Linked DNA regions of Caenorhabditis elegans. The protein of the gene in region 2 purifies or fractionates together with the protein of the main gene of each other region. This does not show direct contact. Each region holds a gene or a part of one and is shown on either strand. Other genes may lie near its edges.

Evidence for each region.
Region 1: the proteins of rml-4 (region 2) and C29F5.1 fractionate together in Caenorhabditis elegans (co-fractionation; one large-scale study listed by BioGRID). This does not show direct contact.
Region 3: the proteins of rml-4 (region 2) and hpd-1 fractionate together in Caenorhabditis elegans (co-fractionation; one large-scale study listed by BioGRID). This does not show direct contact.
Region 4: the proteins of rml-4 (region 2) and gstk-2 fractionate together in Caenorhabditis elegans (co-fractionation; one large-scale study listed by BioGRID). This does not show direct contact.

What each region holds. Positions count from the first base shown.
Region 1 is NC_003280.10:6,301,409-6,307,063, reverse strand, and holds C29F5.1 (START domain-containing protein), read right to left. Parts: upstream 3,540-5,655; 5' UTR 3,510-3,539; coding exon 3,426-3,509; intron 2,984-3,425; coding exon 2,810-2,983; intron 2,680-2,809; coding exon 2,477-2,679; intron 1,941-2,476; coding exon 1,746-1,940; intron 1,700-1,745; coding exon 1,513-1,699; intron 1,164-1,512; coding exon 855-1,163; 3' UTR 781-854; downstream 1-780. Other genes in the region: C29F5.8 (DOMON domain-containing protein), read right to left, coding at 1-89, 390-635.
Region 2 is NC_003280.10:4,293,216-4,299,815, reverse strand, and holds rml-4 (dTDP-D-glucose 4,6-dehydratase), read right to left. Parts: upstream 4,716-6,600; 5' UTR 4,715-4,715; coding exon 4,475-4,714; exon of another isoform or gene 4,220-4,474; intron 4,081-4,219; coding exon 3,196-4,080; intron 2,722-3,195; coding exon 2,579-2,721; intron 2,426-2,578; coding exon 2,304-2,425; intron 1,504-2,303; coding exon 1,424-1,503; intron 1,358-1,423; coding exon 932-1,357; 3' UTR 866-931; downstream 1-865. Other genes in the region: sco-1 (Thioredoxin domain-containing protein), read right to left, coding at 52-158.
Region 3 is NC_003281.10:10,533,365-10,538,300, forward strand, and holds hpd-1 (4-hydroxyphenylpyruvate dioxygenase), read left to right. Parts: upstream 1-2,161; 5' UTR 2,162-2,183; coding exon 2,184-2,594; intron 2,595-2,756; coding exon 2,757-3,053; intron 3,054-3,665; coding exon 3,666-4,139; 3' UTR 4,140-4,319; downstream 4,320-4,936. UniProt on the Caenorhabditis elegans protein: Key enzyme in the degradation of tyrosine.
Region 4 is NC_003282.8:7,239,601-7,243,951, forward strand, and holds gstk-2 (Glutathione s-transferase kappa 2), read right to left. Parts: upstream 2,671-4,351; 5' UTR 2,656-2,670; coding exon 2,505-2,655; intron 1,906-2,504; coding exon 1,526-1,905; intron 1,057-1,525; coding exon 910-1,056; 3' UTR 845-909; downstream 1-844. Other genes in the region: elo-3 (Putative fatty acid elongase 3), read left to right, coding at 183-296. UniProt on the Caenorhabditis elegans protein: Has roles in respiratory and lipid metabolism.

The DNA.
Region 1 (5,655 bases), 2.0 Mb from region 2:
ACGATGTTTCTCTTTGCTGTGTTATGTGAAATAAGAACACTCCCTGATCCACTGGCTGGAAATTGGCATTCGAATACCGTATCATTTCCCTGAAACCCAATTTAGATGAAAACGGCTACGAGGTAGATTTGCTATGAGCGAGCTCCATAACAGTCATACTTTTAAGCTAATCGTTTTTCTGTTATCCTGGGATGATGATTATAGGCGCTCTAGAAAATTAAAAAAAAACTGTATTGCTAGCCGATAAAAATGAGGAGTTTGGCAGTTAAGAACAGGACTGGAACATGATAAGTCTTACACACGATTTTTTAAAATTTGAATGCTTTCACAATTAGCAACATTTAGAGACAAGAATAAAGCAACATTTCAAAACTTCCAAACAAGCCTACCATCAAACCATCTTTTGAAAATCCGAAACCGAGCCACATATCAGGCTTCACCAGTTTACTTTCAATTTCAATAATCAAATGTCTTCTTTCATGTTTCCACGTCATCATTGTCTGACAGTCACTGGCATCTTTACATCCATTTGGTAGTTTCCAACAACCTCTTGCAGTTCCACAGTCACTGATATGAGTTACGTGGAAACTAGTGACGTGGCATATGAATAAAATGAAAAAAATGAATAGAATCATCATAAGTTTGAATCAACATTGATCATATCAGAGGGGCCATTTATAGGTGTGTTTTAAGCTGGAAAGTCTAGAAATAACAACGGACATTGTTCTTCTTTTCCAAGAAGTGATGATAAAACTGGTTTCTATTTAATGATTCTCGCTTCCAAAACACAATTATTTATTTGTTAGAACACATTATACAAAAAGGAAATTAAATTGGAAACGGTCATTCATCAATCACTTTTGCTCTTCTGGCTCATCATCTTTGCATTGTGTAGCCAAGAAATCACGGACTCCCTTACTGATTCCACCAGTTGCTTCTTCGTGTTTCGCGAAGATTTCCAGATGAGCTTTTCCTTTCCACACAAGTCCACATCGGAAATTGTCATCGTTCTTAGTCAAGAATTTGTAAACTTTGTCAAGACAGTCGTGAACTTTGCACAAAGAGACCAACGGAAGGGGCTTCATCATTTTAGAGACATCTTGCAAAGTGTAAATAGCTGGCTTTCCGAAATCTCCGTTTCCTTTGAACCAACCAAGAAGCTCCTGCAATTAGATAATTTTTTTGATGGGTGGAAAATGTAAAATTATTGATCTGATGAGTTTTATTTTTTGCGCAATTTCGTAGGCCCATAACTATTTTATATTGAGAAAATCTCTCTCAAAAAACGCTGTTCATTATGCGCTCAAAAAATAATAAAATGGTAAAAGTTGTGGCAGAAGTTGCAAAAAGCGTGGATAAACCTTTTTTGTCCAAGTTGGAAGCATCTGTTGGAAATATCGTACCAAAATCTATCTACATATACTTGGACAAGACATTGACAAGATGTTCATAATTCTGTCTAAGTTACAGTCGAGTATAAAAATCTTTTTTCAAAATATTTCATAAACTTACATGGTTAGCATTAGTGAAGAACAACTGAGCCCACGTGAAAAATGGGAATCCAGCTCCTTGTGGGTATGTTGTGAGTACTTGAAGTGGAACATCATGTGGTACTTCTCCATAATTCACTACTTCAATATCCGGGTTCATATCACTTTTCTTTTTCTCTGGCAGAACTTCAGATTTATCTACTGGGACTCTAAAATAATTTAATTTTTTGTTTACTATTACAAAAAAAAACATACGGAGTGGCTTTGACAGCTGCATAATCAGCACAGTCAACTTCATATCTAACAAGAATTCGGAATTGCCCATATTGATATGAAACAAGTTGGAAGAATGGACCCGTTGAATGAGCACCACGGGGGCGAGTCATTCGATGTTTCAGATTTTGATCAAAAGTTACATGTCCGATTTCCATTAAATCAGAAGCTTCCATTCTGAAATACAATTATTGGTTTGTTTTGAGTAAATAAGAATACCGAAAAGTTTAGAAGTTTTGCTTTGAGAAGGGCTGACAAGGCAGATGTTCACTTTTTGGTGCGAATTTTTCAAGAATTTATTTCAAGTTCTAAACTTTTCTGAATTTTGAAAAATCCAGTTACTAAGCATCACGAAAACTATAAAAACTTTTTAAAAACAAAAAAGTTTTTAATAAACAGATAAAACTAAATTTTCTCGTTTTCAGTTTGCATGCCTACCGTATATCCTCTATTAGTTTTGCACCCCTTTGCTCAACTTTGACAGCTCATATCTCATTTTGTTTTGAACATATAAATAATTAACAAACTACATACTATAGAAAACCACCTAACAAATATTTTATCAGTTGACAACTTTTCTATAGAACAAACGACTACTGAGATATGAGCTGCCAAAGTTGAGCCAAGGGGTGCAAAACTAATAGAGGATATACGGTACCTTATTTTTATTTATTACCTATACATAGGTATATATACTACCTATTTATTTTTACCTAGTGAGCAGAACAGTCTTTCCAACGCGTTCACAATCGATTCGGAACAATCCTTCTCCGGCTTCATTACAGAATGCAAAAATCTTTTGCAAATTGATAGCATCCGTGATAAAATGGAATTGAGAGAAATCGATTGGTTTCTTCTTTTTCTCACTGAGCAAACGTGCCGCAATAATGATGGCATCCAAAGATCCTTCCCGTACCTGTAATTATATTGATTTCCAAATCAGCACATTGCTTGTAAAAATGGATTGATTTTTGTTTTCCAAATAAAAAAATCTACACGCTTCTCGTGCTTCAACTCGTGTTTCAGTCAACAACTTATGAACTCACTTTCAAATGATTGACGTCATAAATAATCACTCCATGATCTTGCATCAACTTGCCACCTGGCCAATAGAATGATTCAACAGGTGCTCCTGGAACAAGAATAGTTGCTGTCTCATCATTGAGATACCATTGATACGATCCAATACGGTCTACATATTTTGTACTTGTTGGTCCTCCCTGTAAAATTGATTTTTATTAACGAAAACAGTAGATGATTCGCTCTCACGTTTACTGTAATCTCACATTTACTTTCATACATTTTTTCCACAAAATCTTCAGCAAATCATTTAATTTTTAATGGATCTTTATACAACAAAAAAATTTCCATATATTTTTAAAAAACTTCCATATATTTCTAATTATAATATTTTCATAAGACATTTAAAATTTTAAGCTAGGAAACTTAAAAATTCTAATTTTTGTAGCAAAAAATCTAGAAGACAACTTTTAAACTAATACAATAAAATATCAAGAAGTTTTACCATGTTGGTTGGTCATAAGTGAATGCTCGGCATCTTCTCAATTGTGAAATTCATTAATAAGTAAAGAAATACAATAGCTAGAAAAACATTCTCCAACCAAAAAAAAAGTCCTACATCGATATTTAATAACTACTCACCTTTCCAGATAAATTGTTTAATGGAAGAAGACCGTATGGTTCTTCTTCAAGACCTTCAAACAACCAGAATCCGTCGGCAGACATATCGAACAGCGGCTATACGGCGATCTGTCCAGCGACGTGTTGTGTTTTAAAGAGAGGCCATTCTTCAGCACAACGGATCCCTACGAAAGAGAGAGAGAGAGCACATGAGGGGGTGTTCGGGAACAAAAAATAGTCTATGAAGACAGAGACTCAGATAAGATTACAATGCGGGGGAGCAGGAGCTCCCGTCCAATCTCATCGACAAAGTTTCGAAACACCGATGATGATGACGGGATCCCAATATCTCGGAGAAAATAAAGACAATGAAAAGATTTCGTATAGATTTGGAGGACACACGCACACATCGATTGACCATCACCTGGAGTGGGAGCATTGGGCTACGTTTTTGTGATAACGAATAATTTAAAATGTTGAGAATAAGTATTTCAGCGTTCGCTTAATTTATAATTTTCTAAAGACAGAAATCTGTATCACGAGGCTGTAGAATGACAAATATTTTATTTGAAAGCTCATAATGATAAATTTTAGACAGAACGATTTCCCAACCAGTTAGATTTCAAACCTCAAAAAGATTAGCAAATAAAAATTCGAGCAACATTAAACAAAAACTTGGGAACTTTTTTATTCAAAACGCTTCCATACTGTTCACAAAGGATGAATAAATATAAATTTCTGTAGACTGTTAATTCCCTTCAAAATATGCTAAATAATGTTGATTGGATATTTAAAAAAGAGACTCTGAAGAATATCGATGTTTGTGATCAATTGGATATCGAGGAGTATCAATTTCCAGAAGATTGTGCCAACAAAGGATCAAATAGAAGCTTTAGGGTTAGAATTGGGCAAACGCTGTCATCCAGAAAATTGGCCACTTGTGGCGTCCCACAAGGCGCAGTTCTGTCACCACTTTTGTTTGGTATCTATGTTAATGATATATCATCAATATTACCCGAAAAAGTAGCATGTAAACAGTTTGCAGATGACACGAAATTGTATGTATCGACCCCTAAGACTGAAAGCGAAAACAATTTACAGTCTGCTCTAGATGCTGTAGTAGATTGGACAAGGGGATCAAAACTCACTCTAAACCAATCAAAGACAGTTCACGTCACTGTAGAAAAACGTAGAATAGATTTCAAATACCACCTAGACGGTTACCCTATTGAACGAAAAGCTATTACCAGAGACCTTGGATTTTTATTCTCTGAAAAGCTGGATTTCTCTGAGCATTGGAAGAAATGTATCAATCTAGCTAAATTTCAACTGGCCAACATGTTCAACCAGTACAGTACCTCCAATAAGAAACTAATGATTCTCTTATACAAAACTTTCATCCGCCCTCGTTTAGAATATGGAACAGTAGTGTCTTCTCCGACAAAAAAATCGGATGAGAAAGCAATAGAGTCTGTACAAAACGCATTTTCTAGGCGCCTTTATAGTAGAATCAAAAAAAGATATATTAATCCAACTGATAAAGATTACAAAACTGCCATGGAACGTAACGAACTATTCGACCTCCAAACCTTAAGCACGAGACGTAAAATAATTGACAGAATCCAAGTAATCAGAATGAATACTGGTAAAGTAGACTTAAAAACATCTGAGTTTTTTGAGCAACAAGAGACCCACACTCGTTCTAAAAAGAAATATATCTGGAGCACAGGAAAATCTAAACTTAGGAGACACTTTTTTGTCAACAGAACACTACCCACAATGAAGCAACACTGATCTAATGTTACCTTATCCTCACTTCTATTCATCATTTATTCTTGCCTTTTATACATCGATATTTGTGTTTTTTGCTTCTTCTCCAATGTAGCCATTATTTTCTTCTCATCTCTTTTTTTATTTTTGTTTCGTTTTATTTATGTAATTTATTTATGTAACCACTTGTGATGGTTTGTATCTATTAATGTGTGTTTTTTTTCCTACCTCACGATATCTTCTATCGTAATAAATTAAATTAAATTAAATAAAATTGTCCAGATCCGGGCCTCCAGTTTGAAAAATCCTCTATTTTTAATCTCTCTAAAAATCCGTTATTTTTTGAGAAATGTTAGCTCAATACTGCCAAATTGTTTCTCGCGCTTGATAAGGTAGATCATTGTGTGAATTCTTAACTTTAACAAAAGAGAACTTCTTAATTCAAACTTCATTACTATAAAAATCTAATTTTTAAATAAAT
Region 2 (6,600 bases):
TTAAATTTTAAATATTAAGAATCGAATTAAAATAAAGATTAAAGCACAAACCCTTTATTTTTGTCTGAAAACCGTGCGGCTGATGCCAGCGTCCAGACTGGTTTGGTGTTCTTACACAAATTCGCCGTTGAGCATGCCAGCGACACTGTGCGTAGCATTTTCTCTGTAAATGACGAAATTATTAGGATTTTTGGAGTGAAAATCATGGATTTGACGGTTTAAATATAACTTTACTTAAAAATTGTGCGAAAATATGGAAAATATCTGCAAAAAACACAGAGAAACAGTCAAAACAAACGAAAACAAATTCGCACATCATCGAAAAAAATATCGTAAATCTCCCCCGCGTCGTCTCTTCCCTGCGAGACCTTCTCCGAGCGGAGTACGCAGCGTGTCGGATTCTAGGCAATCGCGCCGTAAATCTACACCACTTTTTTCTTGGTTTTATTTATTTTTCTTCGTTTTTTTTTCTATTTGCACCTGTTAGTCCAAAACAAACAATATTTTTGTGTTTTTTTTGTGTTTTCCTCTTGAAATTTAGCGCCGATTTCTTTTTCGATTCCTTTCATCTCGATTTTGCTCGGTTTTTCCTTGTTTTTTCCTCGTGTTTTCCTCTAGACGCCTCAGGCTTTATTCTTTTTCAGCTATTTAAAATCTCAATTTTTATTCAATTATCACTTTTTAATCCATATTTAAGCAGTTTTTACGCGTTTATTCGCTGATTCAAGTTCAATTTTGCTCGATCGACGGAAAAAACACGCAATAAATTTCGAAAATTACCGAAATATTTATATAAGGATGATAATCAAATAAAAACGAAAATTAGCAAATTTTGAATATTTCAGCTTAAAATAAGCATTTTTCTCCACCTTTAAATCGTTCATTAGTTAAATTTAAAAAAAACATTCCAAAAAAATTGTTATAAATTATATTATTTAGCAGCACTAGTCATTTCGCTGAAGTGCTTAATAAGACTTTGTTTCGCCGACAAAACCGGCGCCAAGGACTGCAGTTTTTCAGTGTCCAATGCGCAATTTCCCTTGGTTGCCAGAAGATGTTGAGCACGTTCAGTTTCCACTCCAATTGATGTAGGATTGACAGTCTCGTCGACAATCTCCTTATAAATCTTCACAACTTCGTAAAGACTAATTGGCTCCGGATTGACCAAGTTCAGAGTTCCACCGCTTCGTTGTTCCATCAAATTGCACATTGCATTCATACAATCTGGAAGGATGGTCAGTGACACTGGAATATCAAATAATTCCTTGTATTTGATGATTTTTGATAACAAGTTTCGTGGTTGTTCCAAGTCCAAACTGAGTGGAAGCGTTATTCGTACATTGAGGTTTTCCCAGCCCTTCAAAAAAAAAAAAGAATTTATGAAATAATTCTTATCTAACACTTTTTCACTTTTTCAACTCACATTTTGATTGAAATAGTTCATTTGTCTGTCGGTGAATCCTTTGACAACAGAATAAGCGGAACCAAAGAATGTCGGCTCGTCTGAAAGCAACATTTTTCCGCAAAGATTTTTGGTGGAGGAGAGTCAAAAATTGCTGGGAATGACAGAAATTTGGTCGTAATCAGGGGTTTGGCGGCAATTGCCGGTTTGCCAATTTGCCAGTTTGCCGATCTGCAGGAAATTTTCGATTCCGGCATATTGCCGATTTGCCGGAATTTGAAAAATTTCCGGCAAATTTCCGGTTTGGCGATTTGCCAGATATTTTCAATTCCGGCAGTTTGCCGATTTGCCGGAAATTTTGATCCTCTGCAAATTTCCGGTTTGCCAATTTGCCGGAATTTTTTTTTCAAAAATTTCAAAATAGATGTAGGAACATTCCTAGTATGCGTACAATTTTGCCGATTGAACTGGAAATTTTGAAATTTCCAAAAAAAAAGTTCAAAACCACAATTTGCCGAACATTTTCGGCAATATGCCAATTTGCCAGAAATTTTCAATTCCGACAGTTTGACGATTTGCCAGAAATTTTCGATTCCGGCAAATTGCCGGTTTGTCGATTCACCGATTTGCCAGAAATTTTCAATTCCGGCAATTTGCCGATTTGCCAGAAGTTTTAACTCCGACAATTTGACGATTTGCCAGAAGTTTTCGATTCCGGCAATTTGCCGATTAGCCGGTAATTTTAAATTCCGGCAATTTGCCGATTTGCCGGTAATTTTCGATTCCGGCAAATTGACGGTTTGCCAGAAGTTTTCAATTCCGGCAATGTGCCGATTTGCCAGAAATTTTCAATTGCGGCATTCTCCTTTAAAACTATAAAAATTATATTTTTCCCACAAACCTTCCTCTTTGAACTCAGCGCCTCCAATCGGGTGTTCCTTATCATAAGCAAACATGTAACCAGTGCCAATGTACGTATAGTGCAGCCCCAATTTTCGACACATGTGCGCCAAAATTGTTGCGCTGGAAAAAAGCGAATTTGCCGGTAATTTTCGATTCCAGCAAATTGCCGATTTGCCGGGAATTTGCATTCTCAGCAAATTGCCGGTTTGCCGATTTGCCGGTACTTTTCATTACCGGCACAGGTGCCTACTATCAGTTTTCTCGACCACCTACCTATACATATTATCCCTGACGTTAATGAAAACCTTATCAGCTCTACCCTCGAGGTATTCAATAGTATTGCAGCCGGGCCCATGGGTTCTTCCAGTCACGCAGATCACGTGGGTCACTCCAAGAAGGGCAAGTTCTCTTTCAACCTGGAAAAGTTTAATATTTTCCATTTTATGGTAGTTTAACGCTCGAAAAAAAAATTGCCGTTTTCCCGGAATTTTTTAATTTGCCATTTTGCCGATTTGCCGGAATTTTTTAATTTTGGCAATTTGCCGTTTTCCCGGAAATTTCCATATTTGGCAATTTGCCGTTTTCCCGGAAGTTTGCCGTTCTGCCGGATTTTTTAAATTTTGGCAATTTGCCGTTTTGCCGGAATTTTTTAATTTTGGCATATTGCCGTCTTGCCGGAAATTTTCAAATTTGGCAACTTGCCATTTTGCCGGAAGTTTTCAATTTTGGCTTTTGCGTTTTGCCGGCGTTTTCCAATTTCGGCATATTGCGGATTTGCCGGAAATTTTCAATTTTGACAATTTGCCGTTTTGCCGGAAATGTTCAGTTTTGCCGATTTGCCGGAAATTTTCAATTCAGCAAAACCACATTTTTCCATCCTCTCCTCCTACCTCTTCATCACTATCAAATCCGACTTTTTTCGTTGCCAACACGTATGGAATGTGTCTATCATTGAGCACGTGCTGCAACTCCTGACCAACATATCCCTTTCCTCCATAGATTGCCACGTGCATCTTCACATGTTTATGTTCCTTAAGTGCCGACGCAACAGTGTGACGCATTCCATCATCAAACGAGGTCGTTGGCTCCCAGCCGAGATCATTTTTCGCCTTCTCGATACTTATCAAATAGCGAAGATCATTGTACGGACGATCGGGAATCGATTTGTATTTTGGTGGCTCGTGGGCTCTTCCGAGTTGTAGATCAACTTCTTCTTGAATCGTTTTCGCTAGATCAGCAACATTTTTCTCGTAATAAGTCCCCAAATTGTAAATCTCGTGGAGTTCTCCTTTCTCACAAACTGCCTTCAATCCTGCACTAGCATCGTCCACAAAAAGCCAAGAGCGAAGTTGCTTGCCGCTTCCTTGAATTGTGTATTCCCCACGGACCTTTGCAATCTCAATAAATCTTGGAACCACCTTGACATCCCACTGGTTTGGCCCATAGATATTGTTCATCCGGGCAGTCACAATTGGAAGGTTGTACTGAGTTTGGTAGGCACGGACGTAGGCCTCTCCGGCGATTTTAGTGGCAGCATACGGATTTCCTGGAACAAGTCGAGAGAATTCCACTTTTCCTTGTTCATTCTCCGAGAGATCAGAGTCCCCGTAAACCTCGTCTGTACTGATGTGAACGAATCGTTTGATCTTTCCGTAGGTTCTAACAGTTTCCAAGAATTGGATGAACGATAGAACATTGTTCTGAACGGCTTCAGCGGTCTCATTGTAGCACCGAGTAGAAGTACAGTCAGCGGCGAAATGGATTACGGTATCGATCTGAATTTTAGCATTTAAAGATGGTCATTGTGTCATATGAAATAGGATCGTTTAGATTGGTAACTACAAAAAATTTAGGAGCTGGGGAGCACCTTGAACTAGAAAAAAAATTTCTCCAACTGTGGATTTTTGCCAGCTTTCGATGATTTTTTGGCTGTTTAGAGGTAGGTAAACGTTCTGAATACTTTTTGGAAATTTCTTAAAAATTCCAAAAAGCTTTCAGAATGTTTGTCCACCTCTAAACTCTGAAAATCATCAAAAGCTGGCAAAAATCCACATCTGGAGACATTTTTCTAGTTCAAAGTGCTTGCTAAATTTTTTATAGTGACCTATCCAAAATGTGCTCTTTCAAATGAGCACAGGTCTCATTTAGAAGAAGCTCTCCAATCCATACCTCATTCTGCTCAAAAACGTTGAGAATCGCCGCCTCATTCTTGATATCAGTGAGTACCAACTTGTACCGTGGGGAATTTCTCACCGACTCTGCCACATTCTGAGTGTCACTGTTCAGAATGAGCTTGTCGATGTTCACAAAATTACACGTCGGCCAAGCATCGTGAATGTAGTTGACAAAGTTCGAACCGATGAAGCCACATCCGCCGGTGATAACCACGTTTTTCGGGGTATAGACCATCCTGGAATTCAGTTGAGAATTATCGAGTAATTTCGTCGCGCAAGAAATACGGTACCCGGTCTCGAAACGACAATTTTTTTTGTAAGCTACAGACGAGTGTGCGCCTTTAAAAAGTACTGTATTTTCTAAACTTTCGTTGCTGTGGTATTATTTTTAAATCGATTTTTCATAATTTTTGATATATATTTTCAAAGAAAAAAACAATGAAAAATCGATTTTGAAAAAATCCGCAACAACAAAAGTTGAAAACTACACTACTCTTTAAAGGCGCATATCCGTTTGTATTTAACAATTGTCGTGTCGAAACCAGGTACCGTAGTTTTAGCGCAAAATTTCGCAAATGAGTAATAAAATGCGGGATTTCGACAACAAAAATTGCAAAATTCTCCTTTTTCACTAGTATTAGTTTGAAAAAATTTCGTTTTGAAGGCTAAAATTTTGAAAAATAGCACAATAAAACGTTTGGCAAAGCTTTTGGGTAAAAATTTCGGAAAAAATATTTTTTTTTGACTTATTTCAATTAACTATCAAAAATGGTATTTCAATTTTATAAATTTTCAAGATTTTTTAGCCTACAAGACAAAAAATTCAAAGCAAAAAGCTGTTCAAATCCCAAAAATCCAACAAAAAGTGGAGGACTTGACCATACAGAAACATGTATACATCTAGGAGAAGATAGATAGATAAAGATTTTTCCACGGGAATCAGAGATTTCGAATATTGATATAGAAGAAACGGAGACTAGGTTAAGGTCATTTGAGAGGGCTATGGGAAATCGATTGAACGGCGTATCTGGTGGGGGAGAAACGTGGAAAATTGATGAAATTGGTCGATTGCACCATGTTGTTAGACTAAAAATTAGTGTCAAAATATAGAAAATTACTTGATTTTTCCATATTTTTACACTAATTTTTATTGGAAAACACATGGTGCAATCGAACAAAAAACACAAAAAAAGTGAACATTTCGGTCTCTCCAAGTGATGATCAGATGTACAGTCCATCAGTAAAGTGTGAATCATTCTCCTTCCGGTGCATCAACAAAAAATTGTGAAATTCTCACCCAAATTACAGGCCAATTACAGTGTGCCCAACCCATAAAACTCGGTTTTTGGCAATTGCCGGCCAGAAATTCTACAATATTTTTCATTAGAATTCAGTGATAGATTATAGAAAAAACATAGGATTCATTTGAAAATTGCCGTTTCTTCTAGTTAAAACAATAGGGAGAACGCTCAAAAATTGTCTGAAAGTTGAATTTGGAGCGTTCTCCCAATTTTTTTAAACTAGAAAATAACTCGATTTTCATATAAATCAAATGTCACTGAATTTTGATAGAAGTTTGTCCTTTCCCTTGTCAGTTTTTTTGTTGGAAATTTCCAACTAAAAGTGACACCTCACAGAGAGAGAGTACCCCGTCCTTCTAATTAGCACCACCAGCTGATCATGTATTTCTTCTGCTGAACTCTTCTCACAAAATGAAATTGGGAACCTAGAGACTCTTGAATTCTCGGGTTTCTGTTTGCTGCTGCTCTCTTTTCTCCCCCTGCTCTCTCTCCTGCCATTTAATGGTTCAGCAAAGCCATTTTTTGATGGAAAATGGCGCAGAGGCGAAAAGTAAACATATTATTTTTCCATCATTTTCCCCTACTTTTCGTTCGAATATTTTCCCACCGACTTCTTCTATCAACTCGTTTGATATGGAGTCTTGGAATTTTTCGAATTTTCGGTTTTTCCCTCTGATTTGTGCTCTCCGCACAGCTGTTGCTCATTATTATGACGAACATCAAGCTTTAAACTTTCCGTTGAGCAGCTGTTGAGGTGGTTAATTCGCATTCGCGGAAGCTCTCTCAAAAAAATAAAGTGAACTTGAGAGTTTAAGTCGAA
Region 3 (4,936 bases), on a different chromosome or scaffold from region 2:
GAACAACCTCGTTTTCTTTCTTTTTTTATTCGCCCTCTCTCTTGCAATGCAAACAATCTCTTATCACCATATCAATGTCTGTGATTGCCTGAATCTCTAAAGTATTTCGTCGCTTCCTTTCCCGATATAGTTACATGTTATGTCAATTAAGTGTATGTGTGTGTAAGATAGGAGACAGAAACAACACCAAAAATGAATTTCAGGTGATGGTTTTCTTTGTCATGCTGACTGAAAACGTGTCAATTGGAAAATGATGGGTCAGGAATCCTGCCTATCTTGATAAACCGGGTGGTGGTGTCATTGATTTATAAGGGTACGCGTGGAAGAACGCGGATAATGATGATGAAATGTAGACAGAGAATGATTCATTATCATATCTCTATTGATATCATATTAAAATAATGTTGCCACGTGGCACTATACTTACCTTACTTGTTTTTGCTCAAGCTTTACAAAAGTGAGCCCGGAAACAAAAAAAAGTGAAACAAAAATCGGGTGTTTTTTTCAGAAAATTTGAATTTCCCACTAAAAATTGTCTTTCTCACAAAGTTTGAATTTTCCGCCAAAAATATTTTTATCAGAAATTTGAATTTCGTGCCAAATTTTTACCTCAGAAAATTTAAGTTTTTCTGCCGAAAATTGTTCTCAAAAATTTTTTCCCGCTGAAAATTATTTTTCAAAAAATTTGAATTTCCCGCCAAAAAAATTTCTTTAAAATTTGAACTTCCCGCAAATTTGAAGAACGTTGAACAGTTAGTCCGTGTGATTTGATCTACTCGATCTCATTGATAAGATCATATACCAAAATACTATACATCTATATTCCGACTACAAACTCCCATGACACCTCACCATTCTTCTCACCCCTCCCCTCAAGCATCTTCCGATCTTCAAAGAGTTTCGTCGCCAAATTAGGGTCTCCACAGCAGCAGCATCTTTCAACGAAACGATGCCGACCCACGTGCGTTATCAGTTTCTTTTGACCACATTGCATCACTATTTGTGGTCTCCTCAATGTCACGTGTCCAACTTCCCCCGCCCCCAGCCCGCCCCTTTCGACGTCGACTCATTTCAGTTTGTCGACGACGACGAAATTCGTGACGATCCGAATTTTGCGTGAGGGTGCTATAAAAGTCGGCACTTGCATTATGTGCAGTAACACAGTGCCACTATAGTCTACTAGCACTCAGATGTTGTTTACAGTTTTTTCTTCTTCTTTCTCTCTTTCATTTTGGCGAGTTGTATCTCGGTTCATATTGTAGATATTTATAAATTTTAAACTACAAAGCTTTGTCAAATGAATTTTTTCATATGCTACATAGTTTTAAAGCTTTTATGTTACATTTGTTACTATACAGTACTATTTGTAAACTATATTTACCTAGTTTTAAAATATTTCCAAAAAAATTTTATTTCGATATTGTTTTTAGACAACCCTTATGCCACCCCAATTTTCAAGACATACAATGCCGGTTAAGGGATTTTCCAGAAAGAGTTTAAATTTCAAAACGTTTACTAACAAGATGTGGTGTATTTTTTCCGTTCATTAAGCGGCAGACGACTTGCGGGCCAATTTTTTTAACATTAAATCTGCAATTATCTGTAACTCAAGTTGATGTTTTTATATAGAACATTTGAACAAAAATTGAATTGCCGGAATGGAAATTTTCGGCAAACCGGCAATTTGACAGAATTTAGAACTTCCGTCAAAACAGCAAATTGCTAATTTGCCGCAAAAATGGTAATTACGGAATATTTTCGGCAAATTGTGGCTGTGCACATTTTTTTTTTGGAAATTTTAGATTATCAATTTTATCATTTTTAAATCGGCAAAGATTATCAATTTAATTCTGCATAATTGTACGTATCCTATGAATGCTCCTACATCTATTTTAAAAAGCAAAAAATTTCCATGAAAAGATTTCGAAAAAACGGGCAAAAAATTTCCAAAAAGGCTTAGTTTCCGTCTTATAAAACATCCCTTTAAAAACTTCAGGCAAATTGTTATTCGGCAATTTGTCAAAAATCAAAGTTTCCGGCAAGTCCACAAACCGACAATTTGCCGAATTTTTTCGAAAAAAAAATTTGCCGAACTGCAATTGCTGCCCACCCCCCTGGACTTTTTTCTTCCTTTTTTATCCTTAAACTCTATAAATTCCAGAAAACTCAAAACTTCAATCAAAATGACTACATTCGACAAAGGAGCAAAACCAGATATCGGCACTTTTGTTGCATTCGACCATGTTAGATTTGTAGTCGGAAATGCTAAACAAGCTGCCTACTGGTATTGTGCAAACTTTGGCTTTGAGCCATTTGCCTATAAGGGGCTCGAGACAGGATCTAGAATTACTGCTCAACACGCTATTCGACAAGACAAAATCGTGTTCATTTTCGAGTCAGCATTGTTGCCTGATAATTCAGAACTCGGAAATCACCTTGTTCAACATGGAGATGGAGTTAAGGATGTGTGCTTTGAGGTTGAGGATCTTGATTCGATTATTGCACACGCAAAAGCTGCAGGAGCAACTATTGTGCATGATATTACTGAAGAGTCAGATGCTGATGGATCCATTCGATATGCTACGCTTAGAACGGTAAGAGACTTAAAAATAAAAATATCTTCAAAAATTCCGAAGTTGTTAAATTGCACTGAAGATTGACCAGGAAAATTTGGTGGAATTAAAAAATTTTTGAGAAAAAATTTTGACGAGAAATGCAAATTTCTAATAATCCAAACAATGAAATATTATTTTTAGTATGGAGAAACCGACCACACCTTGCTGGAACGTAAAAATTATCGTGGAGCATTCCTGCCCGGCTTCAAGGCTCATCCAATGCCAGCCACATTCTTCAAGACTCTTCCACGCGTTGGATTGAACTTCCTCGATCATTGTGTCGGTAATCAGCCAGACTTGCAAATGGACTCAGCTGTTCAGTGGTACGAGAAGGTGCTGAAATTCCATCGATTCTGGTCTGTTGATGATTCCATGATTCATACCGAGTACTCGGCTCTTCGTTCCATTGTTGTAACGAATTTCGAGGAGACTATTAAGGTTAGTTAATATAAAGAGATCGATGGAGTGCGGCTGTCCTGTGAGATGTCGGCTGCTAGTTTTTATTGTAAAGAAACAGCAGCCGACAAATCGCGGGTTTTAAAAAGACGCACGACCTTTTTTAATTCAAAAAATTATAGCAAGATTTCTTGTGGAAAATACATATTAGTAATTTTCAACAAAAAAAAATCAAGATATCGATTTGGTAAATACGGTGTCCTATGAGATGTCGGTTGCTAGTTAGTCTTTATAATCAATAGAAAAATAACAGCAGCCGACATATCGCGGGTTTTAATTTTTTTTTCTTGTGGAACAATTGTGTACTCTACGTGGGAAATGAATAATTGTAATTTTCGTGTAGTCCTCCAGGGCATTTTGAATATGGAATACTGAGTATCTAAACATTTTCAACATCTATTTCAGAAACCATTTTTTAATTTGAATACGACGAATGTTTTAAATATTCGATTTTTGGGAAAATAATTGAATTTTCAAATAATTGTGTTTTTTTTTCTGGCTCTCCAGAAAATTGACAAAATAATTTAAATTATTTTCTGAAAAACACTGAATAACATAGAAAATGCTTAAACTTTTAATACAAAAATTTTGCAGATGCCAATCAACGAGCCAGCCACATCGGACAAAAAGGCAATCTCCCAAATCCAGGAATACGTGGATTATTACGGAGGATCCGGTGTTCAACACATCGCACTCAACACATCCGACATCATTACTGCAATTGAAGCTCTTCGAGCCCGTGGCTGTGAATTCCTTTCCATTCCATCAAGCTACTACGATAACCTCAAGGAACGTCTCGCGGCTTCTTCAATGGTAGTTAAGGAGGATATGGATCGTCTTCAGAAGTTGCACATTTTGGTGGATTTCGATGAGAATGGGTATTTGCTCCAAATCTTCAGTAAGCCATGCCAGGACCGTCCGACACTATTCTTGGAGATTATTCAGCGACAGAATCATGAAGGATTCGGAGCCGGTAACTTTAAGGCTCTTTTCGAGTCTATTGAATTGGAACAGACAAAGAGAGGCAACTTGTTCTATGATAATGTTAAGGATGGAAATACTAAGTAACTTATATTTTTTTTATTTTGCAACGACACTTCGTTGCCAAGACCCAAAGTGAATTCCATGTGCCATGAGATTGTATTATAGTTCCCCCTAACAAAGATACCCATTCCCACAACGGTTTCCTGTTTTTTCTATTGATTCTTGTTGCATTTATATTGAGAGAATAAAGATTTTATGAAAGAATTGTTGAGTCTTAATATCAAAACAAATGTGGAACCCGTGGGTCGTCGGCCGCTGCTTTTTAACACATGCGGCGAGGTGACGCCATGAGGCAGGCGCAGGCACCGTTACGGCGACCTCATGAGAGCCCTAAATTTTGCATATAAATGGTCGGCTTTAGTCAATCTCAATTTGTGCACTAAAACTTATGACTGAAAATCCACTTTTTCTGCTTGAACTTAGCGGATATGAAACTTTTTTTATTTGGTTTTTTTTACATTCTGAATGAACACAAAATTTGCAACAGAATGGCTACGGGGATGTTTGAAAAAGTTAGTTTGAAGCCAGATATTAATTTTTAAAAATTGGAAACGTCTTTCCTGATAATTCAAAATACTCATCGAACCATTTAACAATCTCAAACTCTGCCACGTGTTTATTGTTCTCGACAAAGAAATGGAAGGGGAAAAGGGGGTTCTGAGGAATGGTCTGGGGAATGGGAAAGGGCAAATAATATAGAGAAAAAAAACGGAAAGTGTCGTACCCAAATATGTGCACAAAAAAATTAAGGTTTCCTTTTGAAATTGTTGTTGTGTTTTTCAGAGTATTTCAACTGTTGATGGATTTCAGTTCGACCAAAA
Region 4 (4,351 bases), on a different chromosome or scaffold from region 2:
TAACTTTTCTATTTGGAAAAAATCGAATTTTTTCGAAATATCAGAAAAATCGAAAAAACATTTCGATTGTTAGATTTCAGTAAAAAATGGAAAACCCGTTACCCTTGCTGGGAAACTTGGAAAATTCTGACTTATGAGCATATTTTTAAAAAATCTTTGGAAAAAAATAATTCGTTTTTCAGCCTGTTGATTTCGAAATTCTGGAGCCAAAAGAAGATATCAATGCTAACATCGCTGAGCCATCCATCACAACGAGGTCCGCCGCCGCACGAAGAAAAGTTCAAAAAGCTGATTAGAAAATATCAGATTGTTATTTGTTCTCTATTACCGGTACAGAGAGTGTAGATAGTTAGAGAGTGACAGACATCCGGGACCTAATGGGGCGGGGCGCGCGGAAGAGACGATTTGTGTCGATTTACGAAATAATGACAACGAGGAAAATTTCGTAAATCGACACAAATCGTCTCTTCCGCGCGCCCCGCCCCATTGGGTCCCGGATGTCTGTCACTCTCTAACTATCTACACTCTCTGTACCGGTAATATTATTTTTCGTTTCTTGAAATTTCTCTTTTACTTTTTATCAAACCTTTACGCTTTCCCTTATTTATATTCGGCTAATCATCAGAGGCCACGCAAAACTAACACATACTCAGATCTCTCACCCTTCGTCCCCCCAACCAACCCCAAGTTTTCGTTAGCTTATGCTCTTTCTTTTTTGCTCCGTTTTTTTTCTGTAATTGCCGCAACAAATTGAAACTCGTGTGAAATAGATTAGTAGTCTTTTTGTTTCCACATTTTTTCCATCGTTTTCTGTATTTCTCTTGCCAACACAAAAGAAAGAATTAATTTTAATCGTTATTCTTTCTCAGATAAAATTCTAGACACTTTTTAGAATGCTAATCTGACAATTTATGCGTTCGGCTTCTTCTCTCTCATTGGACCCTTGAATGGCTCGGCAAGAAAATCGGCCACCTGTGGAAGGCGATCCGATCCGAAAACTGTTTGAAGTACTTTTCCGTGACCATCAGTGATATGCATCCACGGAGCTCCGAAACACTGAAAAAAATTAATTTTAATTCCCAATTGAGAATATTATAAAACAGCAAAAAAACATTTTAAAACGACGCGCAAGCGCGCTCCGGGGCCAACTGAAAATGCTCCGCCCCTAAACCATGGGTCTCGTTAGGAATTTTGCGTTCGTCGTCTATTTTGTTATATTTTTCGTAGTTTTTGATGTTTTTTCGGTTGAAATAGATGAAATAAAATTATTATGATAAGTGAAAACGCCCTAAATTCACATAATTTTCTTAGACATCATTTCGATGTTGAAATCATTAAACACTTCGAAAAATATAACAGAAAGACTAATTCTAGAAAATTGTCGAGCCTAATCAAAAACGTTCAAGTTTAACGGAAAATACCTAACGAGACCCATCGTTAGGGGGCGGACCGTTTTAAATTGGTTGTGGAGCGTGTTTTCTCGTCGATTCCGTGTTTTTCTGGGTTCCTATAATAAATGACCTACTCCATTCCCGATGGCTTCATCTGTGTTTTCTCTTAAAATGTTCTTAACTTCTGCCGAATCACTCATCATCACCAACTCATCGACATCTTTTACATGCAAATCTCTCAAAACTTCGGCAACTTGACTTTTTGTGAAAATTGGTTTTCCGTATGCATAAAATCGATGCCAGAGTCCACGAGCAACGTCTTCCATCAAAACATTATCACGGAGTTGTGAAGCGACAAGAATACGTTGTGGAACGATTGAACTTGTGTTCAACATCATATTTGTGTAGTCCTTGGGAAGACGGAACGGAATTCCCCAATATTGGGCAGAGAAGAGCAAATCTTTGTGCATGTACTTTTCTTTGATAGGAATACGGAGTGGGAGACCGGGGTTTTCTGAAAACTTGCAGTTATATGATTTAGAAGGTACATATCAAACAACTTTCTGATGATTAGCACGATTCGAAAAAAATTTTCAAAACAATTATGTTATTTATCAATGCTCCTATACTTATAAAATTACCAAATATCACTTTTCCAAATGTCTCGAAATTGCTTTCAAATAGTCCTTTTAGGGACATTTGGCAACTTATCAAAACGTTCACTGATCATTTTGAAAAATCCTGAAATTTTTGGATTGTCTTATTATGTTAATATATGTCATGTTCAACTATTATAATGTTGAACTATTGTTGAACTATTTAAGTGTATTTATCTATTCTAGTGCCCTTCGTCAGATTAAAGCAGATTTTAAGAAGTAGAAGTAGCCGACCTTATGATATAAATAGATAGAGGTGCATTTTTTAGAAAATAATAACATACAGGCTTCTTAAGGTTTTGCATGTCCTTTTCCAGAAGTAAATTGAAAGCTTTTATTTTGACATTTCAAACGGAATTGTTAGAGGGTCATGGTTTAAAAACCTTACTTTAAAAAAGCTAATTCCATTTTTTTACGGATATTAGAGAAATTTCAAGACAAAAATACAAAAACTCACCAGTATGTCTGACAACACCAGCAAAAAAGAATGGTTTCATCTGAATTGGAGTCTTCCAAACGGAACGATGACGAGTGATTCCTTCGAATCCAAAGTAACTGTACGGAGAAATGACATCGAAGAAGAATTTGACCACTTTTCGGTTCGGCATTTTGAAACTTGAAGTCTGCAAAATTCATGAAAATTCAGCAATTATTTTAAAATTTTTCGACAAAAAAGCGAAAAAAAAACAGAAGCTTATGATTTTTCTAAACCTTAATGAGCTCCAGTACTAAAACAACTTGAACTACTTCGGGACGCTTTTAAGATTTCTGAAAATTCTTATTTTGTAGAAAAGTTTTTTTTAAAATAATTAGGCACGAAAAAAAAAAACAGCCGAATCACGTTGGCCAGACAATAATGATAGAGTTGAGAAGAAAGAAAAGATATTTGTGTAAACATCAAGGGAGGTACCAATGAGTTGATAGGAGCACAGACACGTGGTAGAGCAATTGGAGCATCAGCGGACAAAAAACAGAAAAAAAACAGTTGGTCTCAAGTCTAGTGAACAAAGTGTAGAATTGTTTGCAAATGACCACGATAAAAATAGATTTTGTTTGGAAAAAAACTTGGGTACTCTAAATATTTGATTTCTATTTTTCCTAACCGCACGTGATAACCAGATGTGCGATTTTTGAGCATTTAGTTGTTTTGGATAAAAGATATGAAAATATACAATGAACAATATTTTCAGGAAAGAAGTTTGGTTAAATGCTTTATGACTATTCCAAATACGCACAAAAATACCTGCCATTTCTTAATTGAACTTTTAACAAAACAATTTAAATGATAAAGGGAGATAAACGTAAATTTATCATGTGTGTACACCACCCAGCTCATTTTATGTTAGAATGTAGAATCGAGGGGCTAAGAAGGCACGCAGGCAGGCAGGTATATGACATACACGAACAAATGAGAAAAAATAAAATTGTAGCCAGTGTAAAAATGATCCGATCTTTTCACCGTTCAATAAAAACATAAAGGGCTGAAATAGAAACGGATGAAAACAACATTTTGTGTTTTTGAAATTCAGTTCTTAGAAGGAGATCACGTGACTCGAGGTGAGTGAAAAGAAATAAAGTGCAAACGGGTGAAAAAGAGGGAACAGAATTGTGTTGTTTGTTGGAGGTTAAATATGTACTTTGGGTTGTGGAATTGGGATTTCATAAAGTTCACGTTTCGGAGAAAAAAAAAAGAAAATGAAATAGAAAATAATCCGATTGGAATAATTTGTTCCGAAAATGTTCCGGCTTTTGGAAAAAACAACTGGAATATATTGTTTTTAAATTTAATTGGAAAACTTTTACATTTTATGATAAGTTTTCCAATTAAACTATATCTGAAAAGTTTAAAAAACAATAATGATGTGAAAACTAACAGTTCAGATCTAGAACTCATTTTTGTTTTCTTCTTATCGAATTCTCTGCCTTCCACTCGCAAATGTTTGCCACATTCTTGACTTTTGGTTCATAAAGAGTGCAAATTGTTTCAAAGTTTGAAGAAATAAATATTTTTAGTATCATTTATTTGGGTTTTGCATTAAGTTGATCTTACTGGCCCAACAAGGAAATTCAATTTAAAAAAATTGGCTATGAAATTTGAATCAACAATTGAGAAGTCCAAAAATAAGCAAAAATAAATAAGCAAAATTAAGTAAAAAAAAGTAAAAAAAAGGAATTTGTCATCGCGGTGATTCAAATTTAAATTTTTTACATGCCTTTTGTTATAAAAGTGTAAAGAAATAGAACAAATTGAAAGAATCTAGTTGAATGCTCGTATTGAAGTAAATAAATAAATAAATAAAATGC